2 linked regions of the Arabidopsis thaliana genome follow. The protein of the gene in region 1 purifies or fractionates together with the protein of each later gene. This does not show direct contact. Each region holds a gene or a part of one and is shown in the gene's direction. Other genes may lie near its edges. The genes, in order: AT1G72550 and AT4G39280.

Evidence for each region.
Region 2: the proteins of AT1G72550 (region 1) and AT4G39280 fractionate together in Arabidopsis thaliana (co-fractionation; one large-scale study listed by BioGRID). This does not show direct contact.

What each region holds. Positions count from the first base shown.
Region 1 is NC_003070.9:27,312,673-27,328,958, reverse strand, and holds AT1G72550 (tRNA synthetase beta subunit family protein), read left to right. Parts: upstream 1-4,846; 5' UTR 4,847-5,050; coding exon 5,051-5,108; intron 5,109-5,198; coding exon 5,199-5,254; intron 5,255-5,342; coding exon 5,343-5,440; intron 5,441-5,533; coding exon 5,534-5,663; intron 5,664-5,737; coding exon 5,738-5,853; intron 5,854-5,997; coding exon 5,998-6,064; intron 6,065-6,244; coding exon 6,245-6,286; intron 6,287-6,536; coding exon 6,537-6,578; intron 6,579-6,792; coding exon 6,793-6,869; intron 6,870-7,023; coding exon 7,024-7,150; intron 7,151-7,221; coding exon 7,222-7,389; intron 7,390-7,524; coding exon 7,525-7,653; intron 7,654-7,748; coding exon 7,749-7,850; intron 7,851-7,972; coding exon 7,973-8,104; intron 8,105-8,189; coding exon 8,190-8,264; intron 8,265-8,347; coding exon 8,348-8,455; intron 8,456-8,563; coding exon 8,564-8,680; intron 8,681-8,774; coding exon 8,775-8,858; intron 8,859-8,933; coding exon of another isoform or gene 8,934-8,943; coding exon 8,944-9,012; and 2 more. Other genes in the region: PSD (ARM repeat superfamily protein), read left to right, coding at 1-1,213, 1,344-1,433, 1,548-1,637, 1,734-1,838, 1,943-2,002, 2,178-2,240, 2,359-2,454, 2,666-2,830 and 5 more; AT1G72545 (uncharacterized protein), read right to left, coding at 12,542-12,707, 13,013-13,111, 13,142-13,215; AT1G72540 (Protein kinase superfamily protein), read left to right, coding at 12,290-12,688, 12,805-12,940, 13,041-13,177, 13,268-13,391, 13,471-14,027; AT1G72530 (plastid developmental protein DAG), read right to left, coding at 15,022-15,176, 15,348-15,413, 15,514-15,611, 15,701-15,960.
Region 2 is NC_003075.7:18,273,319-18,289,859, reverse strand, and holds AT4G39280 (phenylalanyl-tRNA synthetase, putative / phenylalanine-tRNA ligase), read left to right. Parts: upstream 1-4,929; 5' UTR 4,930-5,028; coding exon 5,029-5,175; intron 5,176-5,381; coding exon 5,382-5,507; intron 5,508-5,600; coding exon 5,601-5,690; intron 5,691-5,806; coding exon 5,807-5,863; intron 5,864-5,957; coding exon 5,958-6,013; intron 6,014-6,096; coding exon 6,097-6,189; intron 6,190-6,279; coding exon 6,280-6,364; intron 6,365-6,471; coding exon 6,472-6,509; intron 6,510-6,593; coding exon 6,594-6,632; intron 6,633-6,755; coding exon 6,756-6,832; intron 6,833-6,953; coding exon 6,954-7,038; intron 7,039-7,120; coding exon 7,121-7,217; intron 7,218-7,300; coding exon 7,301-7,397; intron 7,398-7,507; coding exon 7,508-7,579; intron 7,580-7,665; coding exon 7,666-7,732; intron 7,733-7,814; coding exon 7,815-7,940; intron 7,941-8,013; coding exon 8,014-8,068; intron 8,069-8,168; coding exon of another isoform or gene 8,169-8,219; exon of another isoform or gene 8,220-8,442; intron 8,443-9,517; coding exon 9,518-9,568; and 2 more. Other genes in the region: AT4G39320 (microtubule-associated protein-like protein), read right to left, coding at 158-526, 627-758; AT4G39300 (envelope glycoprotein), read right to left, coding at 2,037-2,056, 2,631-2,749, 2,874-3,025; AT4G39290 (Galactose oxidase/kelch repeat superfamily protein), read left to right, coding at 3,558-4,655; AT4G39270 (Leucine-rich repeat protein kinase family protein), read right to left, coding at 10,150-10,697, 10,772-10,794, 10,875-11,003, 11,092-12,986; CCR1 (cold, circadian rhythm, and RNA binding 1), read left to right, coding at 14,902-15,009, 15,293-15,694.

The sequences.
Region 1 (16,286 bases):
AGAAGAGATATCTGTTGCTGCTCGAGTCAAGGATGCAATGAGGCAACAATGTGTCCCTCAGATAGCCAGAGCATGGTATGACATTGTATCGATGTACAAGAATTCCGATCCTGATCTTTCTGCTACTGTGTTAGATTGCATGAGAAGATTTGTATCTTGGATTGACATTGGTTTGGTTGCCAATGATGCATTTGTTCCACTGCTGTTTGAATTGATTTTGTCTGATGGATTGTCTGAACAAGTCCGCGGTGCAGCAGCTGGGTGTGTCTTAGCCATGGTTTCTAAGCGGATGGATCCCCAGTCAAAACTGCCCCTTTTGCAGACCCTTCAAATCAGTCGTGTTTTTGGTTTAGTATCCGGAGATGTTGATTCCGATTTGGTATCAAAAGTATCTGCTTTGCTTACTGGCTATGCTGTTGAGGTTCTAGAATGCCATAAGCGTTTGAACTCAGAGGACACCAAGGCAGTCTCCATGGATTTGCTGAACGAAGTTCTGCCATCAGTTTTTTATGTCATGCAGAAGTGTGAGGTGGATTCTACTTTTAGCATCGTCCAGTTTCTCCTGGGTTATGTTTCCACTCTCAAAGGCCTCCCTGCATTGAAGGAGAAGCAGCTGCTCCACATTACACAGATTCTCGAAGTGATAAGAATTCAGATTTGCTATGATCCTATGTATCGTAATAACCTTAATTCACTGGATAAAACTGGATTGGAGGAGGAAGATAGAATGTCCGAGTTTAGAAAAGATCTCTTTGTCTTATTACGTACAGTGGGCCGTGTTGCTCCTGAAGTTACTCAGCATTTCATTCGTAACTCACTAGCAAATGCTGTTGAATCTTCATCGGAGAGCAATGTTGAAGAAGTGGAAGCTGCGCTCTCGCTTTTGTATTCATTCGGAGAGTCTATGACCGAGGAGGCCATGAAAACAGGATCTGGGTGTTTGAGTGAACTAATTCCGATGCTCTTGACCACACAGTTCCCTGGTCATTCACATAGACTTGTTGCACTAGTGTACTTAGAAAACATAACAAGGTACATGAAGTTTATTCAGGAAAACTCCCAGTACATTCCCAATGTTCTTGGTGCTTTCCTTGATGATAGGGGTTTGCATCACCAGAATTTCTATGTGAGCCGTAGAGCTGGTTACTTGTTCATGAGAGTCGTGAAATTGTTAAAATCAAAGCTTGTACCATTCATTGACAAGATCTTGCAGGTAAGGGTTTGATTTTCATTTTCTCTTATCTACAGCTCGTTTGATCTGAAGGCTAGTTATCCATTTTTGTATATCCGATGTATTTTCTTGTTTAATTTTTTTGTCTAACTATCTTTTTATGAAAAATCAGAACCTTCAAGATACGTTGTCCCAGTTGACGACTATGAACTTTGCATCAAGAGAACTTACTGGAACTGAAGATGGCAGTCACATTTTTGAGGTTTGACTACCACTTGAAGCTGCTGTTTTCATATATGTACTTCTGCTTGGAAAAAAGGAAATTTTTTCAGTACTCTAAAAAAAATCTCTCAACTCCTAATGCGTTTTTCTGTAGGCTATTGGCATAATCATAGGGTTGGAGGATGTCCCGGCTGAAAAGCAGTCAGATTATTTGTCTTTACTGCTTACCCCTCTCTGTCAACAGGTTTTCGTTTCTACCATTCTCTTGTTCATGAAACTTTTTGGCAATAATTATGGTCAGGTGTACTCACACTCTTTCCATGTGATATGATTGTACCAGATTGAGGCAGGACTTGTGCAGGCAAAAGTTGCAAGTTCCGAAGACTTTCCTGTGAAAATTGCAAATATCCAATTTGCTATTGTGGCAATTAATGCGCTCAGCAAGGTTTGTGTTCGTTTATTCTAGTTTCTGCACGTGAGATTTGTTACTTGGTACTTCAAATTTTACCCTCTTCTGGGCTTGTCCTTACACTTTTGCTTGCAATTCAGGGCTTCAACGAACGTCTTGTTACTGCTAGTCGTCCTGGAATTGGTCTCATGTTTAAGCAGGTTTGTAAACAAGATGGTCTTTTCCCTCTTATGAATCATGTATTGCTTTGCAACCTGTCTTTCAATGCTTTTGTACTTTTTGCAACTTCAGTTGTTGACTGTAATTCTCTGCCCTAATTGAAACTGCTCTGTATTTACTCTTTACTGACCATTGGTAACCTTCTCCGTAATGTAGACACTGGATGTTCTTCTAAGGGTGCTAATTGAATTTCCAAAGGTCGAGCCTTTGCGGAGTAAGGTATGAGTTTAGTTGTATTTTATTAAGTAGACATATTGTAATCAGTAGTGTTGCATATTCTTTTCCATTAAGTTATTGATTCACAGGTCAGTGATTAGCTTGTTCCCCTTTTCTGTAGGTCACATCATTCATACACCGTATGGTTGATACCCTTGGATCCGCTGTGTTCCCTTATCTTCCCAAGGCTTTGGAACAGCTACTTGCTGACAGTGAGGTAAAACGAAAATTTCAAACCTCCCCTTATTATTCAATGCTCCACTGCTTTCATTTCCTTTAATTAATATTAAGTTGATCTCCTACGATTCACTTACTTACCTGGGAGTAATATCTACTAATCAAGATACGTCATTTCGGGCAATGATGCTGCACACTAATTTGATTACTTCTTCAACAAAAAGTCTTACTGTGTATGTGTATTGTTGCAGCCAAAGGAAATGGTTGGTTTCATGGTATTACTCAATCAGCTTATCTGCAAATTCAACAGCGCTCTCCATGATATACTGGAAGAAGTATATCCCGTGGTTGCTGTTAGGATTTTCAATGTAATTCCAAGAGATGGGCTCCCTTCACGCCCTGGGGCTGTTACTGAGGTATTTCGTTTGATTTTCTTTCTTAACTCAATTTTATGATCTGCAATTGTAACTTGAGAACCTGCTGATATCGTAGCATCCTTTACATCCAGTCATATATCCTTTTTTTTTTGGTGTAGGAAATGAGGGAACTGATAGAGCTTCAAAGGATGCTGTATACATTTCTTCATGTTATAGCCACACACGATCTTTCTTCTGTATTTCTTACGCCGAAAAGTAGGGCGTATCTAGATCCTATGATGCAGCTGGTTTTGAATACTTCTTGTAATCACAAGGATATTACCGTACGTAAGGTTTGTAACACTTTCCCTTTGGTTGCATATTCATTTAATTTTGATGATCTTTTTCGCTTACTTATTATCCACTTGTTTTACTCTTTGCCATAAAAATAGGCGTGCGTGCAGATATTTATAAAGCTTATTAAAGATTGGTGTGCCGAGCCATATAGCGAGGAGAAGGTAGGCTTGTTAAATAATTTTTATTAACCTTCTTTTCTTCATGAAAGAAGGACAAATGTCATAATCAAGAACTATTTTTGCTTTCAGGTTCCAGGTTTTCAGAATTTCGTGATCGAAGCGTTTGCAACAAACTGTTGTTTGTACAGTGTGCTAGATAAATCCTTCAATTTCAGTGATGCAAATACGGTAAGCTTAAGAAACTTCAATTCTCTTTTCATTTTGGAGTTTTATCTGTCCGTTGCAGTTGTATAAACTTCTGAATTGTTTCCACAACTGACTGGGTTTCTTCCTTCGCTATGCATCGCAGCACGCATTGTTCGGGGAAATCATCACGGCTCAGAAAGTAATGTATGAAAAATTTGGTAATACGTTTCTCATGCATCTTATGTCGAAAAGTTTCCCATCAGCACATATTCCACAAGATTTGGCGGAGCAGTATTGCCAAAAGTTGCAGGTTTGTTAAGTTTTACTCCCTCAAAACGACCATAAGTAGATAAAAAATTATCTCGTCTTGTGCTTAAACATAGTCTCTCCTTTCCGTGTTTGGTATTCCAGGGCAATGATATCCGAAGCCTCAAGTCATACTACCAGTCCCTTATAGAAAATCTCCGGCTTCAACAAAACGGGAGTCACGTTTTCAGATAGCATTCGAAATACAGCTAGTTTCATAGAAAGAAAGGTCTCTCAGGTCAATTCCGCTACGAGCTCTAATGGTTTTACCAAGAAAGCTCTCTTCCTCAATTTTTGTACATGACAGGTTTGAAGTCATGTGCTTAATATAATGTTCATCTCTTTACAGGCTTCTCCAGATGTAAATAGTATTTGTCAATGTCTACTTGAGAGGTGGCAACAAGGTTCGCTTTCACCATCCAGATCAAATTAGATCAAAAGCTTGAGAGAGATTCATACTGTTGTTGATGTTGGTTCTTCTCAAATCTGCAGTTGTATCTTCTTACACATAATCATGTTCTCCGACTCGAACCAAGGGCCTTACAAGTTGTTCCAGTGCACACACACACTCTGAGGCAGATCAGCTGTTATTTCTTATTGCGCTTTGTTGTGAGATTGTGTCTATAAAGCCCTTCCTTTTTTGGTCCTATCTCCAAGTTTTGATGGTCTTATAACTCTCTGCAGTCGATGTTTTCTGTTTTTCTTTGTCCATGAAAATACTTTAGAAAAAAACTATGAGAGATCATAAAAGACAGACACACAAAACAATTTTGGCTGAATTTTGTTTTCCTATTTTATTCATTTAATTAATATGAAATTGTATTATTTTTCGATATTGAGGTCTCCTCTTATTTTCTAACTTATTTTGAGACACCAAACACAGATTGTTCTTTTGACAATTGAAGTGGCAAAGAAAATAAAAAGAGGTTAAAAAAAACTAAGATAAAAGAGATCGAAACAATGAATTTGTTATATTTCGGGATGGCATTGATAGATAATTTAATATTTTGTGTAAACTACGTATTTTTACCCAAAAAATCTGAAATCTATATGTTTTTAAGTGTTAAAAAGTGTCATATCCGTAAAATTTTAATAAAAATAGCAATTTCCAAAATTTTATATGAAAAATAGCAAAATCAACAATAACCCTTAAAAAATAAAAGAGGGTTATATTTATATATTGTAACGGTGAAAAATCGTCATCTACTTCTTCTTGAAACCCTAGTTCCAAAATCTGCACACACACTCAGAAGAAGAAGACGTCATCTCTCTATCTCTGTCTTTCTGCTAATTTCACGAAGAATCTGAGAATATGCCAACCATCAGTGTTGGCAGAGACCGTTTGTTCGCTGCTCTTGGAGAATCCTATAGTAATTCAATTTCTTCTTCTCCTTCTTCTTTCTTTCTCTGATTTCATAGTGTGTGTTTTCTAATTTCGTCTTATCCTCTTTGTAATGCAGCTCAGGAAAAATTCGAGGAACTGTGTTTCAGTTTCGGTATCGAGCTTGACGATGTGGTGAGTGACTTCATTTTGATCTGCTTTTGTGATTTGATTCTTTTTTCAAATCCTGATTAAGGTTTTGCATCGTATATCAATGAAACAGACTACTGAAAAGGCAATAATCAGAAAAGAGAAGCACATCGATGAAGAAGCTGATGATGATGAAGAAATCATCTACAAGATTGAAATTCCTGCCAACAGGTTTATAAACTGTGACTTTTCTTCTTCTAGATTAAGGAATTGTTTAAGTATTAGGAAATTGATTCGGTATTTTGTTTATATCTCTAATTGCAGACCTGATTTGCTTTGCCTCGAAGGGCTTGCTCAATCTCTTCGCGTTTTCATCGAGAAACAGGAGATACCAACGTATACTCTTGCTGACATTAGCAAAGACAAGATCCTTCAAATGAATGTTAAACCTGAGGTGTGTGTGTTTCTGTCATAGCAAGTATCTTCTGATTTGGTTCCTTCTTTATTGAAACTTTTCTCCTTTTGTAGACATCGAAGATTCGTCCATTTGTTGTATGTGCTGTTTTAAGAGGTGTAACCTTTGACGAGGCTCGTTACAACAGCTTCATTGATCTTCAGGATAAGTTACATCAGAATATTTGCAGGTAAATGACATTGCTAGTTATAGGATCCATTTCTTCTCTCTTGTATTATTTCAATTATTAGCTACCATCATTGTGTTGGCTTGCATTTTGGGATTAAAAATTGGTTTCCATTTATTTAACTTTGCTACGCTGTACACATTTCAGGCGAAGGTCCTTGGTTGCTATTGGAACTCATGACCTTGATACATTGCAGGGTCCTTTCACATACGAGGTGATTGTCTGTTATTATCTTTCCTCTTCTTTTTTCGTGTCTACAGTCTTCCTCTACCTCTCGAAGAAGTAGAATACTGATCCAACTTTCATACAATCTGTTTCCTTTGATTTATGTTGACACTTTTGTTTAGTTGAGCTTTTTTCGTGTCTCATTAACTCTATGTATATTATTTTTCAGGCTTTGCCGCCAACGGATATAAATTTTGTACCTTTGAAGCAAGTAAGTCAATGTCATTATGGGTTCATCAACTAGTATCTCTGTTCAAAATAGTTACATGTGCCTGTGTTTCTTTGTTTAAATTCTGAATCATTCTTTCTCCTCGGTTATATAGATAAATGATTTTTAATGTAATGGTTATTTGGTTATAGCATGTTCTTTTTTTTTAATTTCTGGTACAATTTCTCACTTCTTCGTAGTGACAATCTAGTTTGTTTCATGTTTGTACCTAATACCAATTTCTTGGTCGCAGACAAAGAGCTTCAGGGCTGACGAACTTATTGAATTCTACAAGGTAAACAGTTAATCTGTTACTTTCTCGTATTGTGTTATGACATTTGTTACTCTTGTGAAATCGTAACTTCTTTGGAGCAAATAATCAACGAAAGATATCCCCGAACTTATGGATATGTATAGAATGAGATGAAATAATTGTTTACTCGCTGAATAACTACTTAGGCTTTCCGAAGGCTTTTCCTTGATGTGTGAAAGATTACTTTTGTTTGCAGTCTGATATGAAGCTGAAAAAGTTTCTACACATAATCGAGAATTCACCCGTCTTCCCTGTTTTATACGACAGTAAGAGGTATTTGTTCTTCCTACTTCTGTTCATTTTACCTCTAGGGTGAAGAAGTAAAGATGTCTATCAATCTATGATAAATACTTTCATAAACCAATCAATAATTTTCCTACTATAAATGAATTACGTACTGAAACATAATGAAAGCTCACTTTTGCAGAACTGTGCTGTCATTGCCACCTATTATCAATGGTGCACATTCAGCAATTACCTTACAGACAAAGAATGTCTTCATTGAATGTACTGCAACTGATTTGACGAAGGCCAAGATTGTTTTGAATACAATGGTATGTTGTTAACAAATCAAACCTACAGTGCTAACTGATCAATAGCTAACTAATCATTTAACGTTTTCCAGGTTACAACCTTCTCAGAATTTTGTGCCAGAAAATTTGAGATTGAGCCTGTTGAAGTTACATACGACGATGGAAAGTCATACATCTATCCGGATTTAGCTGTCTATGATATGGAAGTTCCTCTCTCTTTCATTACAGACTCAATTGGAGTCTCTTTAAAGGTGGAACAGGTAATAAAGACATCACTGTTGTCAATTTGTAATGGTTGAACCAGCCTCATTTTCTTATTTGAGATGTCGATTTTAGAGGCTACTGTGCAATGATTTTAATCATTTGTTATGTGAAATGGATTTTGTACCTTTCAGGTTACAAGTCTGCTGACCCGAATGCAGCTGCAAGCTGAGCAAGCAAAATCTAGTGATAACCAGTGTGCCATCAAAGTACATGTACCCCCCAGCAGGAGCGACGTTCTCCACCCTTGTGATGTTATGGAGGTATATTTTCATAGCTAAAACCCTTCTGTGTTGGTGACATAATGCCATTATGATGATTCTCCATATAACTAATCATTTTGCTTGTATTTCACCAGGATGTTGCCATTGCCTATGGTTTCAATAACATTCCAACAAGAAAGCCTGCTTCGATAAAACCACTGACTTTGAATGAGCTCACTGATCTTCTAAGAATAGAGGTATTTGCACTTCCATTTAACTGTTGCATCAGCTCACAGAGATCTGTGTCTGTGTTTCTTGTTAAATTACTTTTAAGCATTTGTTTCTCAGGGAAATTATCTATTTTATATTTTGAATTTAGATTGCGATGTGTGTGTACACGGAGGTGGTAACGTGGCTACTATGCTCACATAAGGAAAACTTTGCGATGCTAAATAGAGAGGATGTTAATTCAGCCGTCATAGTTGGGAACCCGCGGTCTGCTGATTTTGAGGTTCCTTTCAAATAATTTGGTCATCTCTTTGTAAACTTTTCCAATGGTAATGCTTTGCTAATTGTTTCATTATATGTTGAAATAGGCCATGAGGAGGGCTCTCATGCCCGGATTATTGAAGACAGTTGGTCACAACAATAAATACCCTAAACCAATTAAGGTAAACCCATATCTCTGGTGCCGTTAGCTAGATTTGAGATTTTAGTGTCCCGTGAATGATAAATCTTTTTCTTTCTGTTAAAGATTTTTGAAATCAGTGATGTGGTCATGTTGGATGAGAGCAAAGACGTTGGTGCATCCAATCGTCGCCATCTCGCTGCACTATACTGTGGTGCTACTTCTGGATTTGAGGTATGGATTTCATTTGCTAACTATGATATCGTCGTTATGTAACTTATTTTCTCAAGTTTGCGCAACTTCATCAATTGATATGCTTTCTCTGTATAATTCTTGATTCAGCTTATCCATGGCCTGGTCGATAGGATCATGGAAGTGATGGCAATACCATTTCTAACAATCCATGAAAATAACGTACCAATCAATGAAAAAGACGGATACTATGTAAAGCTCTCCCAAGTAAGCTCTCCTTTCGATCTGCAAGCATCTTAAGATTTTTCATTATCGACTAACTCAAGATCCTAATCTATCTCTCTTTTGCGTTCTGCAAAAGGAACCCGAGTTTCTACCGGGCAGGCAAGCTAGCATCATTGTCAGAGGGAAACATATTGGTAACTTTGGAATCGTGCATCCTGAGGTATCACTCATTTAAGTCTCCTTGCTTGATCCAAATAGCTGCAATAATTTTTCAAATCGTTTTTCTTTTCTTTTGTTTCCATCAGGTTTTGAACAACTTTGACATCCCTGATCCATGCTCTTACTTGGAGTTAGACATCGAAGCTATCTTATAGAAAAAGAAACCAACCAAAATGTTTTCTTCTCTTTGTGCAATATCGTTATCTGGATTATTTGAAGTTGTTGATTTTGTTTGGTTAGAGGATCTAGAACACGCATGTCGAGAGAATTACTACAAATATTTAACTGCTCTGCTGTTTTTTACCCCATTTGTAAGATCCAGCTTTTATTTTCAATTCGATTGTAATTTTCATTTAGAATTTGTTTAGTTTCTTAACTGACAGCAAATTTTTTTTTACAAGGGATAACATGCCTAATTTTTATAGCCAAATAATCTAGATTCTTAGAAACTAAGAACGAATCTAAACACTAAACAAACTCTAAATCCTAAGTTTTCTCAATAAACCTTAAATTTATAACTCTAAACCCTACAAAAGTGGCCTATCCTTTTAAATCCTCAAGTCTTTCTAGTTGTTCTATTTTATGAACTTTGAAGTAGTTTGATTTTAAAGTGACGTTGAATAATGAAAATGAGGCGTAGAAGACTATTGTGGCACTCCGCACTTGTATGTGTGTGTATGAGGATATATGTGTAAACCAGAAAGGGACTCAACGACTGGTTTATTTTTAGGAACTTAACGAGTTTCATTCTTTCGATTATAGTGTTTATTATATATTCAAGCAAAGTACATCATAATACACGTGATTAATTAATTATCTTGACCCTAATAAAATATCGATGAGAAATGGACCAAGGTCAAAAGCAACCTCTGATGATGCCACACTCCGCGGCTGCCACAATTTTTATATCTTTATGTATGTTCCTTTTTTCAAATATACTCAAAATTCGGATCCAAAATTCTTTTATATATATATATTGAAAACACCTGAAATCATGATTACATTTCTCTCTTTTTTCGTTTCTTGATCTTTTTATAAACAAATTTTTCTTCATTTGGTTCTTTCGTATGGTAAGAAAAGGAAAACTAGCTAGAAGTCAAAAGTTTTTTTACATTAATTCAAATTCTAATACACTTTATATGATATATTTTCATCCATTCCTTCGTTTTTTAAACTTTCTATCACCACTAAGCCGATTTGATTGAATTGAATGCATTGATCTCATTCATATTATTCTCATTCAAATTCAAAATATATTTCTGTAATGATGAAGTCTAGTGCAACTTGATATTCCAAGTCAAAATTAGTTAAACCAACCAAGTTATCAGTTCGGTTCAATTTCAACTATATTTTGCATCATTGGATAAAACAACAACAATTAAAATAACATAGTTGGCTATTCTCTAGAAGAAGTTGATGAATATCTGAGTACGTATAATGCTAATCTGATACAAAGATTTAACTGACTAAAAATGTGAAAATTTGGAGAATTGTCTTTCTACTTCACATCACCACGTGCTAATTGTGTCACTGGACTGTACTAACACATCTTTGTTTTAGCCCATTTTCTTATATATTAGAAGGACAATCCCACTAATCCGGAGATGAGCATGTCTTTTGGCAGAAAGTTAGTAAAAAAAACTCGCAAGTATATATCTAAATCGGAATCTAACAGTCAAAAGTGGTCACATGTACAACAATTTTGACTCGAAACTTCTACGTAAATGCAAATTCAGCAATGAGAGACTCAATCCTCAATATCCCAAATTATATGAACTAAAGGGGTCATTTGGAAGTTAGAACAAAATTTTATAGGGGTCAAACACTAATTTTAACCAAATATTTTCTCAAATTCAATCAAATTACATTAAAAATAACTAATATATAAAAATTATAGGGGTCATGTGACCCCCTTCATCCCTTCTTACCGCAGGCGAGTTTGTTTGAGCCGACTTAGATCATCACTATAGGATGTATCACTTTCTCGTTAAACTATTAACGATTGCCAAACTTTTTGCCAATAAAATATAATGAAAAGCTACGTAACTTTTAATATAGAGCTTTCAAATCTCCTTAAAATCAGATTCCTCAAAAAAAAAGCTCTTCGATACTATTTTTATGGGATTAAAGAAAAAGGAGAGACTACGTTAAGATTTTAAATAAAAAATAGACAAACGAATTTGTCAATTGAGGTTAAAATATTTGGCAAGAAAGTTTGTTGCCATGTCGCTCTCAAAATACTTTAAAATGTTGAAAAGTAAAATTGATGATAATGAACAAATTGACCTTAACGATAATCGAAAATCTCCCTTCTCTTCGTATTTAACTACTATTTTATTGAAAAACTATGTGTGCACCATCTCATACCGTCATACGGCTACCACGTAGAATTTATTCAAAACAAATAATACAAAACAAATTCGAACTAAATTTTCTTGCGCATGCAACATGTCTTTTTTGTGACTCGCCACGAGAAGATTTAGTGGAATTATAATTTCATTATACAAAATTAGTGGAATTCTCAACTAAATGAAAAAAACCTTGAATTATTTTAATCTCCAAAACAATTTAAACAAAAATGGTAGATCAATATCAGATGAAATTTCTACAAATTGTGAATATACTAATTACAATTTCTTTTTCTTTAATCACAATTGTAGGAGAAAAAATAAAATATAATTGACTGAGTTTTATATATTAAAAGTTGTATTTTCTTTTAACAACTCAGCCTAACGAAGAAAACAAAGGATACCGTTGTCTCAAGTCAATGGTGTGGCCAAAGGTATTGGGATCACATTCTAACTTCACAAAGAGAAAAAAATAATCTAACCTCTTTATTATTTTGTTTGTTAAATTAATCCAACCTCTTGATTAATATTATTTTTGACAGAACTAACATAATATATTTAGCAGAAGCAACCATGTCTTCTAGAAGAAAATGAATATATGCTATATATATAACCAATTCATTAACAACTTACAAGTGTATGATATAGTACAGTAAGCAAAAAAGTATGAGATGGCTTGAGATAGTCAAAGATTTTTCTAATAGATCCAAATATGTATCTGGAATTGTCTAGTTCACGTTATAATAACACATTTTACCTATCTTCTTCTTAGAAATTATTACGAAACTATATTATAACTAACCAAAACATTTTTCATTTGATTATATGCTTAGTGGCAAATGCCATCTTTGATGGCTTTATAAGACTGCAGACTTACTTTTTGGAGTCTTCACCAATCTATCACCTCTCTCTTTCTCTCTCTCTCCAATTTCTCACTAACCCTTTTTTCAAAGAAGTTTCCATATATAATCTCTATATGTTCATTCATTCAGAAAAATAAAATAAAAACCATTAATCAAATATAGACAAAATCTTGTGAAAGAAAACAAACACAGAGAGATTCTTTCAGTTTCAGATGAAACCAATGAGATTTTCTTGGAAGAATATATGTCTTCCCATAAGCTGCATCAATAACACAAACCAGAAGAAGACTACAACAACAAACCCACCAAAGGAAAAACTTCTTCTTCTCTCCAGACAAACCTCTGTTCCAAGCAGAGTCTACATGTCCGATTTCAGCAATTCAACCATCTCACTCAACGACTTCTCAAACTCTTTCTTCATAAACATTCACATATTCACCTACGAAGAGCTCAAAACGATCACACAAGGCTTCTCAAAGTATAATTTCCTCGGTGAAGGAGGTTTCGGGGAAGTCTACAAAGGTTTCGTTGATGATAGCCTCAAGACTGGTTTGAAAGATCAGCCTGTTGCTGTTAAGGCTTTGAAACGAGAAGGTGGACAAGGCCATAGAGAGTGGCTGGTAATGATTTCTTCTCCATCTGCATATCAATGAATCACATTTCAAGAATTATATAGCAGCTTATATAAGAATGGAACCATAAAACTAATAGTAAACGTTTCTTCGAGATTCTGCAGGCTGAAGTTATAATCCTTGGTCAGTTGAAGCATCCACATCTGGTAAATTTGGTCGGATACTGCTGTGAGGATGATGAGAGGCTTCTAGTATACGAGTACATGGAACGAGGCAATCTGGAAGACCATTTATTTCAAAGTGAGTTGGTTAAAAGACCAAAACCATACAAAAGGTCCAAAAATGATTGTTATAGAGATGCAGATTACTAACAATATGAGTACTGTTTGGTGCAATGCAGAGTATGGTGGAGCCTTGCCTTGGTTAACAAGAGTGAAGATTCTTCTAGGTGCTGCGAAAGGCCTTGAGTTCCTTCACAAACAAGAGAAACCTGTCATATACAGAGATTTTAAGCCTTCCAACATCCTCTTGAGCTCGGTAATTCGAATGCTTCGGTGCCTATTTTGCATTTCCATATATCTGTTATCATGTCAAATAACTTAAAATCTCAATATCTAAAACTTTCAGGACTTCAGCTCTAAGCTTTCAGATTTCGGCTTAGCCACAGATGGATCAGAGGAAGAAGACTCAAACTTTACCAAAAGTGTAATGGGCACAGAAGGATATGCAGCTCCAGAATACATCTCAGCAGGTTAAAGAACATAACAATAAGGCTACTTGTCATAAAGCCGGTGCATTATTAGCTTACATGTTTTCTTGGTGAATTTCAGGTAATCTGACGACAATGAGTGACGTGTTCAGTTTTGGGGTGGTGCTTTTGGAGATGCTAACAGCTAGAAAGGCAGTGGAGAAGTACCGGGCACAGAGAGGGAGGAACCTAGTGGAATGGGCAAGACCCATGTTAAAGGATCCCAACAAGCTTGAACGGATCATAGACCCGAGTCTCGAAGGGAAATACTCGGTAGAAGGCATCAGAAAGGCAGCTGCTTTGGCTTACCAGTGCCTGAGCCACAACCCTAAGTCACGACCAACTATGACCACTGTGGTTAAAACCCTAGAGCCTATTCTAGACCTCAAAGATATCCAAAACGGACCGTTTGTGTACATTGTTCCAGTAGCAGGTGTAAGTGAAGTTCATGAGATCAAATGTAAGGATGATGTCAAAGTCGTAAAAGAGGAAACAGAGAAGGACGCAAAAGTCTTCCCACGACACCGAGCAGGTCGAAGGAACAGACGTAAACACAAGGCAATGAGGTCTCGTGCAGTATATTCAGACACTGCTCTATACAAGAGTCTAGGAACCAGTTTATATAATCCAGCCAACTAAATTGATGCACAAAAAGCAAAATTATTTAATTTTTATACAGGTATAGTATAGATATTAGGATACGTTAGTATACAGGGAATATACGAAGAAGTTGTGTTAGAGAAATGAAGATACCATAAGGTTTCATAAAATTCTGCACATGTTGTGATAGAAACGTAGCTTAAAAAGTGAGCTACATAGATATTTAGCAATCAATTTTCAATTTTGTAACCACAGATGTATAAGTCTGAATTGTATGCGTGTTCAAAAGGGACAGTATTACTTGGATTTTTTTCACCACAAAGATTCCACAGCAAATCCTAAATTGACTGTAGTTCACCAACTAAGAATTTCAGTGGTAAGCATGTTATTCCTAGTCAATGTTTAAGTATCTGGGTACATACGCAAGCATGTTTCAATTTCAGACAAAACAGTTTCACATGAAGCCAAAGATTAGATTACATACCTTGGTGATGAAGAAAAAAGACTTCTCAATCTTACCAAACCCCACTCAAAAAGACGTGTAGGAAAACTCTTCTGTGGTTGCTTTCGTCTCCTCGAATTTCTATATGGCCTGATTGACAAACGAACAATAAGAAGCAGCCATTTGGTGGATCAGTCTTTTTCAATGGAGACTTCAATACCTAACAGATTACGTCACTAATGAAAACTGAAGCAATTGAGAGAACTTTGATGAACCAAAGTGATTATCCAATTTTGATGAGATCAGTAAAACATTACAGATCTACATCTACTACTGGCACTGGCTTACATCATCACTTAATCTAGACACATTCCTGTTAGCTTCTAAGTTCAATAGGTAGACAATGATGTGGAATCTACTCAGTATCTCGGATTGATTGATTGATTGAGTAAAAAAAAAATTCTCTACCATTACACCTAAGATTCTTATTAACAGCTTATATTAGTAACACTAAAAGACATTCCAGAAAATCTTCAAGGCTTGAATGCCACACTGAAGCAAGAAGACTTCCAAATACCAAAATATCTCCAATTAAATCAACTTCTTCTTTCTTTTCCTCCTATGCTTCTTTTTGACTACTCCGCTTTTAGCATCCTCATCAGTTTGATCTCGTAGCCAGTCCGCATGATACTTCTCATCATACGGAACAACTTCTCCATCGACAAACGGCTCTCCTGCAAAAAAAACTATGAATGTTTTAAGAAAAAAGAAAGATCTACAGGTACTAAATTTAAGAGCTACAACTCCTCTAGTCCACCAAAGAAACCCAACAAAATGAGAATAAGCACATAATCCTAAAATTTTGAGATATAATGGTTGCAACATACGAGTTTTTCACAAGAAAGAGCAAAACAAACCTCCGTATCTATTGTCACCATCCACTATAAACGAATCTGGTAAAACCCATTTAACATCAGGCAGAGCTGCAATCGAATACAAGCCAAAGTTTCAACATTTGCCACGAAACTATGAACAAGTGAACCAAAACTCCAAAGAAAGAAGACGAGATCAAAATGTTCTTACATCTAATCTTGTAAGTCAAAGGTTCATGAATCCTGCAGCCAAATGCATAGTAGTACTTTGTAGATACAGAGTATATCGATCTCTTAGCTTCTTCTTCGCTGCAAACAACAAAGCAACCTCAATCATATACCAAAAAGCTTCGATTTTTAAATTAAAAACTGGACTTTTCGAGTGTGATCAGTGTTACCTCCCTAGAGCCATGGCTAGGGTTTCGACAAAGCTTTGGACAATGTGATTTCGAGTTGGGTATCCATTGGGAGGCTTCATGAGAACCAGCCAGTGCTTGTAATCGCATCCCTCGACTAAACTCGGTACTCGAATTAACTCAGACCAACTAGTCGTTTCCGAGTTAATAGAACCAGAGTTACCGGAGAATGGAGACAACGGAGAAAGTCGGAACCGGACGGCCGCCGTCAAATTTAACGGTCTTCTGATGATCCTCGCCATTGATAATGATGGTCCAACATTAAAGGCGATGAAACTTCAATAAACGTCAGAGCCTCCGAAGAAGCTAGAGGTTTTCGTTTTATTTTGAAGACTATTTAAACCGATTTTTGGTTTGGTTTGGTTTTGGTCCGATTTTTTACGGTTTGATACGAGCCGATGCCAAATAACGACACTGTTTGTGTTGATGATCACTTTGGTTTTGATTTTAATTTGATTGATGGTAAACGACCATTAAGAATTTTAATTATTTAAAGCCTTGATTTTTAATTATTTGTGTCGCCTACATTTTAATAAATCAACATAATAAAATCCTTGTAAGAATTTTA
Region 2 (16,541 bases), on another chromosome or scaffold:
AATAGGAAATTTGAAGTTTTCAATTCATATAAAGAATACAGCGTTTGCGTTTATCTATCGAGGAAAAATATAATCTAAACAAAAACAAGCATTTTGCTATCAAGAACGCAGAAACTAGCGTTTCAAGGCTGTTTCACTGTGTTTATTCTTTTCCCACCTACTCTGTTTTCGCCTCTGTTTCGTTCTCTTTCACAGTCACGAGGTCAATGATTTTCTCTTCACGAACGGCCACTTCGTTCTTCACCTTCTGATCATCAACCATAGCTTTTGTCTCTGTTGCAGGAGGTTTTGCCTCCTCCTCCAAAACTGTTTTCAGATCTTCAGTAACCGGCATCATTTCCGGTGTTATCTTCTTGTCAGCCGGAGCTCTTTTCTCTGTTACCGAATACTTTGTCTCTGTTGCCGGAGATTTTGCCTCTTTGGTCGGAGTATTTTCCTCCTCCAAAGCTGTTTTCAGATCATCAGTAACCGGTATCTTTTCCGGTGTGATCTTCTCGTCTTCTTTCGTTATCTTATCTGCCTTGTCCTATTAACCAAAAGAAAACACAAATGAGACACAAAGAATAACATAACTTAATATAACATCATAATTTCTTGTGCTTGTTTTTAATTTTATAGTGACTTACTTGAAGGAACAAGTTGCTAAGAGATTTTGCAGCGTCCATCTTATGGTATTCAAGAAGTGAATCCTTGAGCTCCTCCGGCGCCGGAGCTCCGGTTTCTGACAGAACTTTTGGCTTTAGTGCACAATTCCCCATATAGCCTTCTCTATTTATAAGTTCTCTTACTGTTTCTTGTTCGAGTTATAACTTACAAGAACATTAGCTATTATATAGGCATGAACACACACACACACGTCTTGTATGTATATAGTTGTGCCCGTCCATCTCGTTACGCGGTTAACTAGATAAGGAGGTGGTGGGGATACAAAGAGACACAAAGGCGAAAGTAAATCGATTATTTTTTTAGCATCAGACTTTTACTCTCCACTTAATAGAAATGACGTTCAAATGACTAATTAATGCCACAAGTAAGAGATTATGGAGCAAATTCTTAGTTTGGTTCCGACTATTTGTAACGGAAGGCTGAGTCATGTATCTTTGTATAAGAAATCCAACTTATACAGTATTTTTTTTCTAAATATTATTCATAGGTAATGAAATTTTGACTAGCAATTTAGTGTTTATAAGTAAATTTAACGGAAATTGTATTATATTTTTTCTTCATCTTTAACTTTTTTTTGTCCCTTTGGTAATTTAAGCTAAAGGCTGGCGAGATTGGCGTTGGACGAATTGTCTGGTGAATGTGGGGCTCTCGAATATGTTTGGTAGTATATTGTTTCAAAAATATCAATATTATATAGTTACTTACTTATATACATAGTTGGTGACCAAGAATGAGTTTATGAGTACACTGCAAGAAAATTTGGATTCACAATTATTAGTTGGTCGGGTTTTAAGTTCGTTAGAATGACTAATTCTTATGTAATTCGCTAGAATACTTAAAAAATGATGCTAAACTCCCTTCCATGCTCAAAAAAGATCTAAAGTCTAAACGATAACATAAAATTGGGAAACAACCTGATCCTAAACCGGAGAAAACCGGTCTAAGAAGCTGGCAACGTCACAAGTAGTCTTAAACAGTACAATATCAAGTATCAACCCATGGACGCTTCAAGACCAAGACCAAAGCTAATGATGGTGTCACCGAGGAACTCCCAGTTCTAAAGAGATGAGAGAAATGGGAAGAGGATCAGTGAACAAGATTCAGAAATTGAAAAATGCAGAGGTTCCTCGTTACAATGTGCATGAACAAAAGAAAGCAAATGCTGACTTTAGTGAAGGAAAAAGGCCCCAAAATGTGTGGATCCAAATATCGAATAGATAGATTGCAAGAAGTTTGAAACAACAAGTCCTTGTGAACCACACAACAATACATTGACGATAGAGTTCGAACTAGAAAAAAAAACACTATTCTTGTTCATTCATTGTAATATATTGATTATTTCCGCCTTATATCGATCCAGCAGACCGGGGTCACAAAGGCGTTGCAAGTCCTATCGCATTAAGTAGAAGAACCACAAGTCAGAGAAAGAAGCAAAGTTTTAGAAAAATCAGAAGGAGCAACTAAATAATCTAAGACCAACTAGACATATATCTCAACAAGACATGATTGTATAAGAGAAGTAACAGTTCCTTTCTTCAAAGTTTTGATCTTTATCAGGCTTTGTCCCAGTCGAAACTATATCTAGTGAAGCCACAATCTTTTGTACACTTAAAAAACATATCTTTCACAGATATCATCCAGTTTCACATCTAATCAGTATTGTTTGAGCTAAAAAAAAAAACTTTGAATCCAACGAGTGTAGACTAATGAAAAATCTCTTGCCACAATTATGCTGCTATTCAAGAATATCATCTAATACTTGCTATCTTTTTAAGAGTTGTGATCCCATTTCATAAGAGAGATTCAAGCTTACTAAGAAATTGATCTCCTGTTTCAATCTTATTCTCAAAAACTTTCCAAATGCACAACAGATAAAGCAGAAAACAGAATCAACCCACCAAAAAGACAACAAATTTAAGGATAATTTGCAAGAAAACAGCAAAAAAATAGAGGAAAAAAGATACCCTGAGAAAGCAAGCTCCAACAAGAGGAATCAGCAGCGATGCTTGACCGGAGACGAGCTGAAGCAACGGCACTGTGAAGTGGAATCATCGTTTCAACACTTCCCAAAGCAGAGAGAACCCTTCACATAAAATGTTTCTGATTAAAACGAGCTGAATATTTTCTCTAAATTTCCTTTTTCCAAAGTTGAGCATAAGAGAAAATGAGTTAAACTTCTTGAATCAGCTGAAAGGTGAAGTAGTTACCTCGAAGCGCGAGGGATGGATTGAGACATTGAAGCGAAAGGAGATGAAGTAGTTGTGGGTTTAAGATTGAGGGACTTTTGAGTTACGGTTCTGGATCTTGATACTAAGTTTCTGGAACCTGCCATTAACGCTGATCTGCAAAACGATGCCATCTTTGATCTTAAGATTTCGCACAACCGAAAGTTTCGTTTTTCTTTTCTTACACAGCGAAATGGAACAAGTGAACAGAGCACGGATGCACTAAACCCTACAACCCAAACGGCATCGTTTAAGTTTTGCAGAAGTAGCACAAATTTGCCCTCTAACTTTTAATTTATGCATTATACACCCTCCCTAGTTTTTATTTTTGTGCGTTAAAAATAAACATAAGAAAATATTATCATGTCATCCTTTTTTTATTTTTGTCAACTATAAAATATTACCATCCCTGTAAATCAGTTTTAGATAAAATCTATATATTCGTAACAGTACAATTTGTTAACTAAATCTTTTTTTTTTCGTCATATATCGTTTGTAAATTAAATCTTTTTAATACAAATTAGTTTTTTCCACTTTCCAAGGGATACGAGTTTTAATTTTTGTGCATATATACTGTATTTGTGGCAGTGGATTTAGGATTATTATTAGAGATCGAGAGGAAGCGAAAACGTACGTACGAAGCTTTCGTTCACGTATCCCACAATTATGTTAATGTCGAAGGAAGATGAGTCACAGATGACGTTTTCGATGCTTCCTGATGATTTGGTATTAAACTGTTTAGCCCGTGTTTCCAAAGTGTATTACCCTAGCCTTTCCTTCGTTTCCAAGAAATTCCGGTCTCTCATTGCCTCAACGGAGCTTCAAGAGCTTAGATCATTCTTAGGTTGTACTAGCAGTGGTCTTTACGTGTGTTTACGGTTCCGTACGAATACTGATTACAGACAAATTTGTTTCACCCTCCGCCAAAAAATAAGTAGCAGCGCCAAAATTTTGGTCCCAATATCATCTCTTGATTCTCCTTTTGACTACAGATCAGGTGTTGTAGCGGTTGGTTCTGATATCTATGCTATTGGTGGACGAAACTTAAATAATAGTGCATCGTCTAAGGTCATGGTCATGGACTGCCGTTCTCATACATGGCGTGAGGCTCCAAGCATGCGCGTGGCACGTGATGACTTTCCATCTACTTGCGTCCTTAATGGGAAAATATATGTAATAGGAGGCTGCAAGAATCTCGATTCAACAAATTGGATTGAAGTTTTCGATACGAAGACCCAAACATGGGAGTTTTTGCAGATTCCTAACGAAGAGGTATGCAGAGGTTTTAATTACAAAATCGTAGGGTATAAAGAAGCTATCCACGTAAGTTCATTAGAAAATAATCGTGCAACTTTCATGACTTACGAGATACACAAAGGTAGATGGAGAGAGCCACACTTATCGTTAAGTCATGGATTTCATTTCTCTAATTGTGTGATAGAGAACGTGTTCTACCGTTATAGTTACGAGATGCTCCAATGGTATGACTCATGTAGAAAAATATGGAAAAATTTGAAAGGATTCGTGCGCAGGTCGATTATGAATCCTCGTGGTGAAGGTGTTAAAATGGTGAATTATGGAGGAAACATAGTTCTTTTGTGGGAGGAGTGCGTGACTATTAAGAAGAAACTAATCTGGTGTGAAGAAGTTGTTATTGAAAAAAAACATCAAGGAGAGATTTGGGGGTTGCTTAAGTGGTCTGACGTTGTCTTTATAACCGATGAGAAAAATCAATTAGTGCGTGCTCTTGCTCCTGATGTTTGATGCAATGGCTTATCAGACATGTGTTTAATTAGTTGATCATTCACTGATATGTGCAAGAAGGACTATTATTTGGTTTTATTTGTTCATTAACTCGTTTGGAGTTTGCTTTCCTCCCATAACTTACATATTTTACTATAGTGAAAAAATTTTTAGCTTTCATTTTTCTTTTAAAAGTATTTGGGTCTATGTTGCAATTTCAAAAGTAATTGGAGACTATTAAAAACGCACTCTAAAGTCAAACCCTTAAAAACCAATTTAATGCAAATACTATTCTGCGGCGTTACTCACTCTCTGTTTTTGACCGGAGGAGATAGAAGAGTAGGGCAAAGCTCTTTCGATTAAAAAAAAAAAAAAACACTTCAAGAGATTACTTATGGCGGAAGAGGCGATACTAGGGTTCCTTCAGAACAATGAACAGATCACTGATTCGGGTCAATTCTCTGCCGAGTTCAACATCGACCACAACGAACTCGTCAATGTCATCAAAAGTCTCCATGGTTTTCGTTACATCGATGTTCAGGTACTCGTGCTGGAATTTCGATAAAAGGGTTTGGATTATTGGTCTAGGGTGTTAGAGTAAGACGTTTTGATATCTGGTTGAAAGTTTTGTACTTTTCCATGAATGCCACTGATGAATCTCACAGTTTGCCATAAGTCTCTATCATTAACAAGGTTTAGTGGACTAGATTTGCATTGTCAGTCACATGGGTTGACTATTCTCTGCAGGACATTAAAAAGGAGACATGGATTCTGACTGATGAAGGGAAGAAATATGCGGCAGAAGGGTCACCAGAGGTTCAACTTTTCTTAGCTGTTCCTGAAGAAGGCAGCATATCAAAAGATGAGCTCCAGGTTATTGATTGCAATGGATATGTAGATGTATATAGTGTGGGATTTGTTTAGTCATATGCTAAAACAACTACTGTAAAATTCGTGCTATTTCAGAAAAAGTTAGCTCCTGCAGTCTTCAAGATCGGCTGTTCTCAAGCTGGAAAAAACAAGTGGGTGGAAATGGGAAAGCAAGTCTCGAGGAAGGTAACGCTAGATTGTTTTTACTTTCTGTTTGCTACCTCCGTTTTTGGATGATGTTTGGTAGTGTATGAATCATTTCAATTGTTTAGTCTGCATCAATCTGAACCATTTTTTTGTAGGTTAAAGATGTAGAAGATAAAGTGAAAGGCCAGCTTTTACAAATACAACAAGGGAAGGTTTGTGCTATGTTATTTCAGTAGAGAGTTCCTCTGTTGTATTTACCTTAATGATTCATATTAATTTGGAGCATCACTCTCTCTTCCCCTTCAGGAATTTGACAAAGAAAGTATCAATTCTCTTAAAGCCAGAAAACTCATAGTACCACAGTAATTGATTCTACTTTTCTTTTATGTTTCGTTCCTATTGAGAGACATCATTATCAATAGCTGATATCTTTACTACTTCTCAGGATATGGAAGGGGTATTCCGTAAAGAAAGGTCCTAATTATGCTCCCGAGAGAAAGAAAGTGGCTACCGATTTGACTCGAGAAAATCTTCAAAAGTTTGTCCTATTCCTTGCATTTTTTTTCAACTTCTTAATGCTATTGTAGGTTGAATATGCAATTAAGAGAGGAATTTGGTATATTTGCAGCTGGAAAGAGTTAGAGTTTAAGGAGTATAACTTCAAAGCTAAAGGAGCGCCTGTTGACGCTGGGCATCTTCACGCTCTTCTCAAGGTAACATGACACAAAAAATGAACTTGTCGTATCCCTTTAGTGTAAGCTTGTTGTTTCTTTATCAAACCTCTATAGTTTTTATTTATATTACTTTTCTTGTACCTTAGGTGCGGAAGCAGTTTAAAGACATATTTGTTCAGATGGGGTGAGAGAAACTCTTCACATATATTGTAATTCCCCATTTTTCTGTTGATTGCTAAAATTAATGGTGAGCCTTATGTGGTCATAGGTTTGAGGAGATGCCAACAAACAACTATGTGGAGAGCAGGTATCCTCTAGTTATTAAGAATCTTGGTTTTCAGCTTTCCATGGAGGCTTTAAGGATATCTAATTATACATCCTTTTCTTGCTATTTGTTGGCTGATCTTAATCTGATTCATATACGCTACAGCTTCTGGAATTTTGATGCTTTGTTCCAGCCTCAGCAGCACCCTGCTCGTGATTCTCATGACACCTTCTTTCTAAAAGGTTCAAATCTTGAATCCTTTGTCACTAAATTTGTTGTTTAGGACAGCTATTTCTAGGTTGCTTGTTGACATCTCAAAGAATAGATAACTCTTACATTTAAGACGTAAATCTTTGAATGTAGTTCCCTCTACTACAAGAACACTTCCGGAAGATTATGTTGAGAGGGTGAAACGTGTTCATGAGTCTGGTGGTTATGGATCAAGAGGGTAATTGACTTGTATCTTCTTACCACCTTGAATAAATAATAATTAATTTGCAATCACTCTGACATGGCCTTTTGCAATAAAGGTATAATTATGATTGGAAAAGAGAAGAAGCAAACAAGAATCTTCTTCGTACCCACACAACGGCTGTCTCATCTAGGATGCTTTATGCACTAGCACAGGTTCAACTAGACTTTAGCTTACAGGTTTTGAGACGTTGGTTTCCAAAATTCAGTAGTATAATTAGATTTATATCTTACTGTAGAAACCTTTTGTGCCCAAGAAGTACTTTTCGATTGACCGTGTCTTCAGAAACGAGGCTGTTGATCGGACCCACCTTGCAGAGTTCCATCAAATTGAAGGTATAGTTCTAATGGTCAGAGTTGTCACTGTGGGGAGTTATATTAAAGTTAGCATAATCTTCTGTCAAACTTTATTCATAATCGGTTAAATGATCTCATGTTTGGATCAGGTTTGATATGTGATCGGGGCCTTACACTTGGAGACCTGATTGGTGTATTAGAAGACTTCTTCTCACGCTTAGGTAAACTCTTCGCTATTGAATCTTAACTTTGGTTCGCTTAGGCTCAAGAGAGAAATACTAACTCTTTACGGGATCATACTTTTCAGGGATGTCGAAATTGCGTTTCAAGCCAGCTTACAACCCTTACACAGAGCCAAGCATGGAGATTTTCAGGTAATTGGTAAAAAAATATAGTCATCTAAATTGCGTAAGAATAGAGAGAAAAAGTTAAACTTTGCCTGTTCCTGGATGTCAGCTACCATGAAGGTTTAGGGAAGTGGGTGGAGATTGGAAACTCTGGGATGTTCAGACCCGAAATGCTTCTACCGATGGGTCTCCCCGAGGATGTTAGAGTCATCGCTTGGGGTCTCTCTCTTGAAAGGTACGAGTTTTTAATTCCCTTCAACATCTCAGGGTCGTTGCTGATTCTTTCTTGCTTTTTGTTCGTTAAACAGACCAACAATGATATTATACGGTATCGACAACATCCGAGATTTGTTTGGACACAAGGTAAGCACAAAGATATTAATTTATTCTGATATCTTTCTATAAACATTTCCTTGTTCTGTTGATGTATATACTCAATCAATGTGTCATTATTCTGTCCCAGGTGGATCTCGATCTTATTAAACGGAATCCGATCTGCCGAATTGGAATCTAAGTGATATATTTTGATTGTCTTTTTGATTCAAGATACTCTATTTGGTTATCTCTTGGTATTTTCAATTCTACCTTTGGTTACTGGACTTTACAATTCCATCTTAAACGTGTGTACACTCTTAATTGCAATCTGGCTTGTCGAATTTTAATATTCATTTAGCATTTGGTTTTGTACGGTATAAAGTTTGTACTTGTACTAATGGCATACATATTTAGGATGCATAGTCTATACTTGTGCCAATGGCATATATTTTTAGAATCAATCGCAACAGCACCTAACATGTGGGAGAAAACGTATGTTTGGAATGGGCCAATGTGGCCCAATAGAATCTAGTGTAGCTAATGTCCATTGGTACCAATCTATTGTCACATACATAAGTATTGAGATACGGTCCAAGCAGCTCTCAACATCAAATTTCCTTAAACATTAACAACGTTGTAACTGCTGGATATTTGCGGTGAACTCATCATTGTGCACGACGACATTGGCGTAATTGTTTTTGCTTTATATGATTTACTTGAGATTTTTTTAAATATATTTTTTTTATTTTTTTCTATATTTATATTTTTTTTCTCAATTAATTTGGTGTTACGTGATGTTTTGGTTTTTGTAATTATTGAATCTAGATAACACAGATTATGTAACAAAGCTATATATATAATAATAATAATAATAATTAAGATGCAGTACATATAATAATTAGGTAATATTCCCTCCGTCCAACGAAAATAGATTTTTCAAATTTTATATCAAGTCCGATCGGAATTAAATGTTAAGAAAGACGTATTTTTTGTTGCTTTACGGAATTGCTGGTTTTAGTGGTTTTCGTTAGAAAAGAAATTTGGTGACTCTGAAAATATGTATGTACTGTGACCGGTGGTCCCACTTTCTGACTTCAAACAACATATGTGAGTAACGGCTCAACTATCGATGCAATCAATTGTGGAACACATTCCAAGCCATTTATTATCCCAACTATGTGAGAAACCATCTCCGTTCGACGGTTCTAGAAGCCCACAAACTATCTTCGGCCGTGGGTATAATACAAGGTAAAATTTATGTATTGAGTGTTCATCTTAGATCGTGGGTTGTTCAGGTATACAACATCAAGTACTCGGATTCACTCTAGGAGATTTTCAATATTGCTTTCGACGAGAGGCTAGAAAAAACATACGGTCTTTCTTTGTATATACAAGGTATGCACAAAATCTTCACTTATCAAGAAAACTTTGTGTAAACATTTCTTTGTTCTATTGGAAATATATATATTCAATCCATGTGTCATTATTTTGTCGCAGGTGGATCTCGATCTTATTAAACGGAATCCGATCTGCCGAGTTGGAATATGAGTGATATTTTGATTTATCTTTTTGATTCAAGATACTTTATTTGATTATCTCTTGGTATTTACAATTCTACCTTTGGTTATTGGACTTGACAATTCCATCTTAAACATGTGTATACTCTTAATTGCAATCTGGCTTGTCAAATTTAATTTTCACTTAGCATTTGGTTTTGTATGGTATAAAGTTTGTGAGGTGGTATTTACGATGTAAGGAATAAGAACTTAGATCAAATAAATAAGTAACTGGGCCAAGAGGCCCATTAAGTGCAAAGATGCAACGTGGTTAGATAACAGCAGCCCATTTATTAGCCTCATTCACACATCATTACAGAAACTTTTCGTTTTTTATATAATTGCCCCAAAGTATAAAACATTTCGATTCCCACCCCATACAAAACGAATTGCTAGTTTGCTACCCGAGAATATCAAAACTCAAAAGACTGGTCTGGTTTGATCATCGAAAAATATTATAAATTAACGGGAATTTTTTATCAACAAGAGATCAAATCATAACCACACATAAAAAATAATTAAAAATTGACGTCAAAAAATAAATATTGATCGTGTGTGTGTGTGTCTTTCTTTCTATACATCTTTCATACTCCGTCGACTCGACGCGCCACGGCTACTTCCTCTCGCTGACGATCCAGTCGCTAAACCCTCCGCCTGAGACAGAAGGCTACTTGTTCCCGCTGCGACAGGATCAGACACGCTCTGTCTCCAACTACCAAATATTCGACCGCTACTCGAAGATCCTCTCGAAGATCCAGTCGTACGGAATCTCTCAGATTCGCTGCTGTCTTCTCTCACAACTCTCAGTGGATTCTCCAAGGCTTGTACTATGTGTCTCATAAGCGGCCGTCTCGTTGGTTTTGGGTTAAGACAAGATCTAGCGACGATTGCCATTGCCCAGACTTCTTCTAAGAGGTCTTCGTCGACCAGAAGAGATTGGTCTAGAATGTTCATTACGGGTTCTTTCTCTTGCGATGAAATGTAAGGCATGATCTCGGTTAGGATTTTTTTGAATTGGGTTTCTTTACATGAGCTGATTCCGAGTTTCCCTGTGATAAGCTCCAGAAGTATCTTGCCGAAGCAGTACACATCGTAGGCACATGTTGCTGTAGCTGCAGACCCTGGGAATTTTAGGGATTGTTAGAATAGTTAAGAAATTAGCAAGCTTGTTTTATGCATTTGAAGATAAACTCACCAGGAACACTTTCTTGAGAAGACCTGAAGAGGGAAACAGTAGCAAGCTTGTTTGTTAGATGTTTAAATCAAAATTGGTTATATGATGAATCAGAGGCACTTACTGGGATAGTCTGAGCAATCGGGCTATTTTCCGTGGACGGCCATTGTTTTCTTGATGACAAGCTTTGCTAAAGCTTCCAAGCCTAACTTCAAACTTATCATCCAAGAGAATGCTACTTGCTTGAATATCCCTTATTGAACATTGGAAGACTCAAGATCAGTAATGAACTAATGGTGGCTTGAAAGTAAAAAAAGAGTAAAAGGAATGGTTTTTCATACCTGTGGACGACGGATGGTGAGCAATCATGGTGCAGGTAAGCAAGTCCCTCTGCTACTCCCAATGCTATTTTCAGTCTGGTGATCCAATCGAGAGATCTCAATCCGTTGTCAACTAGGGAATTGGATTTATAGAACAATGAGCTTGGTAAATCCCTATTCAGCATGTACTTGTATACCAAGAACTTATGAGTTGCGCTCTCTAAGCTCTTCCCTACGAATGGGATTATTCTCGGATGCGCAAACCGGCTGAAGAAATCCAACTCGGTTAGATAAGCTTCGTTGTTCTTTGTAGATTCCAAGCTGATTCTTTTCACAACGATCTGAACTCCGTTTTCTAGAACTCCCTTGAAAAGATCCCCAGATTGTCCTTTCTTGATCAGGTTTGAATCACTGAACTCCTTGGTGGCATTGAGCAACTGCTGATAGGTAAATGATGATCCAAGACTCCCAAAGTTTATAGAGACTCCTCCTCTTGAGGGAAGTGTTTCATCAGGAGGTAATGGGCCAACACCGTTGTGTCTTCCTCTAGGATGATTACTTGTTGATGATCTGTTTCTTCGACGGACACAGAAACTCACTGTTATTGGTAACACTATGAGAATGAGCATAAGCAATATAGACCCTCCAACTGCAGCAAGTATAACTATTTTCGTGTGGCTTAACCAGGAAGTTTTAGAACTCTTCTTCTCTTCATGTTGTCCGAAATTGTTGAAAGTTAAGCCCTTTTTTGAATAAAACAAAGTGCAATCCGACAACTTCCGCTGCTTCTCTGGGCCCTGAAGACAATTGTTGCTCAATGAAGCTCTGGTTGGCACAAAGTCAGGAATTTTACCTTCAAAATAGTTTTCTGACAGGTCAACAACTTGGAACCTTGTCAGTAAAAGTGTGAGATTGCCGTAAAACATGTTCCCGGATATGTTAAGCATGGAGACAGTAGAATCAAAACTGACAGTGGTATTAGGCAGCATGTCAGAGAAGTGATTTCCAGAAATATCTAGAAACTTGAGCTCCGGTAACGACCATAACCTGGACGGTAAAGCGCCTATGAAACCACTGCCTCTGAAGTCAATGATCTGAAGTTTACTCAGCAAACTAAACAGATCAGGAGGTAGGGATCCTGAAAGGCGATTTCCCGCAATTACCAATGTCTGCAAGTTCCTTAGCCCTTTCAAATCTGATGGAACCGAACCTGACATTCCGTTGAAGCTGAGATCAAGGTCAATTAAAACAGAGAGGTCTCCGAGTGATGGAGGTATTGAAGAAGTCAAGGTGTTACGCGAAAGATTCAGACGCTGGAGCTTTGAGAGTGCCCCAATATTAGCAGGAATCGAACCAAACACCGAGTTTGAGGAAAGATCAAGGATTGATAGATTCTGAAGAGAGGTAAGAGACAGAGGAATATCCCCATTGATCGCATTCTTTGAAAGATCAAGAACTTTGAGATGTGATAACCGAGTCAAACTTTCAGGGATGGTTCCTGTGATTGAACAGGAGCTAAGGTCCAACACCTCTAAAGTCAACAGACTCGATCCAAACAAAGCCGGGATTGGACCTGGAAGATAGAACCTTGAGGCGTTGAAGGAAGCTAGACGGGTGAGATTGACGAGAGAACCAACTGAGAATTCCGGGTTTTGATTCCCAATCCTTGTCCTTCTGAACCCTGAAATGTTGATCTTAGTTACTCTACCATTCTGATCACATTTGATGCCGTTCCAGTTCAGACAAGGATTGCCTTTTACAGGCCAATCTCTGCTTCGTAACCCAAGAGAAGACCTTAACAGCAGAAGCGCCGATTTCTCATTCAGAGAACTTGTCTGTTGCTCAAACGTTGACTCTAACAACAAGAGGAGGAATAAGAAGAAGACCAACAAGGATGTCTTCCTCAGAACCACCATGGTTTCTCTAAACCCTGGTGACGACTAGTACTTCGAAAAACTTAAAGCCATTCATTGCCTAAGATTCAATTGGAAAAAAGCTTCGCGATTTATGGAAATAATCAAATCTCTTTTTTTTTTGGGTTTCCTTCGAATCCGATCAATAAAGGAAACTTTCTTTTTGTGATTATTCAACAAAGATATATACTAAAAAAGGTTCTTCACTCTGTTACCTCTGCGACTTTCTCTGGCAATTACTTTTCTCTGTGCACTTCAGAATCAAAAACGATTCATTGTTGTTTACCAATCATTTTCTGCTGCCTCTCTCTCTCTCTAACTCTTCCATGTTTTTTTTTGTCCTAGATTTAGAGAGAGAAAGATGGAAAGTCTGATATAATACGAAACAGATATTTTTATATAATATTTGATAAAAACTTCTTCTTACAGAACTGTTCTGGACAGAGAAAGCTTCAGACTGGTCAAGAACAGCGGCCGTTCGAAGAAAAGAGAAGAAAGTATAAGAAAATAAAAAAAGTGAGAGAAGGTGGATCTTTCGTTGTATACGTGCACGTTCCCAAGATTTATGGTTCGATCTCGTGACCGAGACGCAGATACAGTAATTGAAAGTGAAGTTCTGAATACGGCGTCGTTTGAGGAGTTTGACTCTCAACGATCCCGCCCAAGACAGCTTAACGAACTCTTAAATTAATATCATTTCAAAAATACTTAAAGTTTCTGCTGACGTTTAATATGATAACCACCATTTTAGTAGTTTTGCAAATAAATAATTGAATTCCTAGGAGCTACGATGCTACTCCATTTCTGTAAATTTTGTATGACAATTATTTTTCCTCGTATTAAAACGACCAAAATATACTAATAATAATTGTGGCTTTATTATGAGCAAAATGATTTAGTTGTCACTCTTATAAAAAGTCGACGATACTTTTTCATATTACCTGCGATATATTAATAATCAGATTTCTTAAAAAAATCTTAGCCAGGTTATTTCTTGTTGAAAAAGCTCTTCTACACGCTTTAGTCAGCATTTTCAGCACAAAAATCGAAATCAAGATACTGAACCATTTGTAATTGACTTTGTATAACTACTACATCTTCATTCTTCATCCGTCTAATTTTGGTATACAAAATAATTAATCCTGTAAAAAAATAATATTCAGACAGTCAAAATATTTCAAGTACAGAGCGAGTGTATCCAAATATTCAATGATTGAAAATTGAATTCCATTGAAAGATTTATATGTTCACATATCTGCACATCTAGCTTTCATTTGAATATCACTTAACATACCAAAATATTTGTACAACAAAAAACGTCTATGCTAAAGTTTGGATATTACAGACTGTAACATGTCCACGATGCTATTGCGATAAGAATCTTTTCATATGAATTTATTGCATGTCATAATTAATGACAAAACAAATATGTAAATCCATAGCACATTATCGTCATAGTCTTTGCATATTATTTCATTTTATTGTTTTACTAATTTCGCCGTCAGATTCATTGGGCCGGAAGTTATAATCTTTCCAATTAAATTAGATAGGCCCAATAAACGAAACTCAGACCCAACTATTGTATGACATAATGACGACGAGACGAAGGACAAAATTGTCATTTAAGGAATAAAAGATATTCTTACAAAGATATTTTTTGCTCGAAACGAGGAGAAAAAATCATTAGTTATCGAAAATGCTCACATGATGTGGGCCTAACCACTAACCCAATTAACCACACATCTTAATCAGAGTAAGTTGAAACAAATCTTTCAGCAAACCCTAGAAAACATGTTTAACCCTAGTTATTACGTCACACCTGTTCTATAAATTAAGGCTGCGTCTTATCACCTCAAATCACATAAGTCTCTCTCTTACATTTTGAAACCCTAATTTCTCTTCTTTTCCCCAAAAAAAAATGTCTGAAGTTGAGTACCGGTGCTTTGTCGGCGGCCTTGCCTGGGCCACCAATGATGAAGATCTTCAAAGGACGTTCTCACAGTTCGGCGACGTTATCGATTCTAAGGTCTGTTACACGAGAGATCGGTCTCCCGGATCGAGCCGATTCCGATGATTCTGATCCTCGACGGATCTGATTCCGATCTGTTTCTCTGTTACTTGATTCGATTACTGTTACTATGTTCTCTCTCGTTCTTTGTTACTGTTACTTAATTTGTCCCATCGGTACGTTCATCTTCCTGCTTCTATGAGCTCGGAGATCGATCGATTTTTGCTTTATATTCATCGCTTTGTTTTATATTCCTTCCACGATTGTTTTTGCTGATGTGTATGATTTTGTTTGTTTACAGATCATTAACGACCGCGAGAGTGGAAGATCAAGGGGATTCGGATTCGTCACCTTCAAGGACGAGAAAGCCATGAGGGATGCGATTGAAGAGATGAACGGTAAAGAGCTCGATGGACGTGTCATCACCGTGAACGAGGCTCAGTCGAGAGGTAGCGGCGGTGGCGGAGGAGGCCGTGGTGGAAGCGGTGGTGGTTACCGCAGCGGAGGCGGTGGTGGATACTCAGGAGGCGGTGGCGGCGGATACTCAGGAGGAGGCGGTGGTGGTTACGAGAGACGTAGCGGAGGTTACGGATCTGGTGGAGGCGGTGGTGGCCGAGGATACGGTGGTGGTGGACGCCGTGAGGGAGGTGGCTACGGAGGCGGTGATGGTGGAAGTTACGGAGGCGGTGGTGGCGGCTGGTAATCAAAGATAGAGTTGTTTGCGTGCTGCTGCTCTGTTTTTGGTTTAGATTTGGTTTTGTGTCACCACTTCTGGTTTGGTTATCGTTCGTTTGGTTTACTTTTTTGATGAAACAGTTTCGTTTAAGTCTTCTTTGTCTGGAACGAAATGTTAATTCGCGTGTTGTTTACTAAATTTATAACGTTTCCTTTTAACCAGATTCGAGATTTTCCCTCAAATAATTTATCTTGTTAGACACATGTATTTAATCGAACAGCAGCTAAAGGATTCAAATGATTTTCTTATCAATAATTACTATAGTTTGAAATTGATTAGTTCTTTAACTTTTGACCTACCAATAATTAGTGCTATTTTATCGAAAATGATCGTCACTCAGTTTTGCGCCGATCCAATGTGGACATTGGGTATTTAATACTAGTATCTTCTGTTTAAATTTTTGACTGAGAATATATAGACAACAAGATATTCATCGAATATTCCCCTTCCGTTACTTTTCTTTTTGTCGGCATCTTTTTATCGTGAAAGGATATCATCGTCAACGTAGCCCAATGAGCTCAAACCAAAAATGTAAATCCTAATCCATAAAATGACTATTAAACAAACAATAAAATCACATAGATGAGACTTTGGATATGCTACAATATGTGTACTTTTGTCTCTTGTAAAATGTGTAGGCTTGTTGAGCAATGCTCTGTTTACTCACTCTCCAAGTGACAACAACAGTCTGCACCGCTTGGAAGAAAAAAACAAACTTAGCATTTGTTAACAAAGTTATTATGAACTACTATAGCAACCCCATAGAAATAAGCATCTTCATTGAGCTACAACAGCTAAGTCTACAAAGGAACTT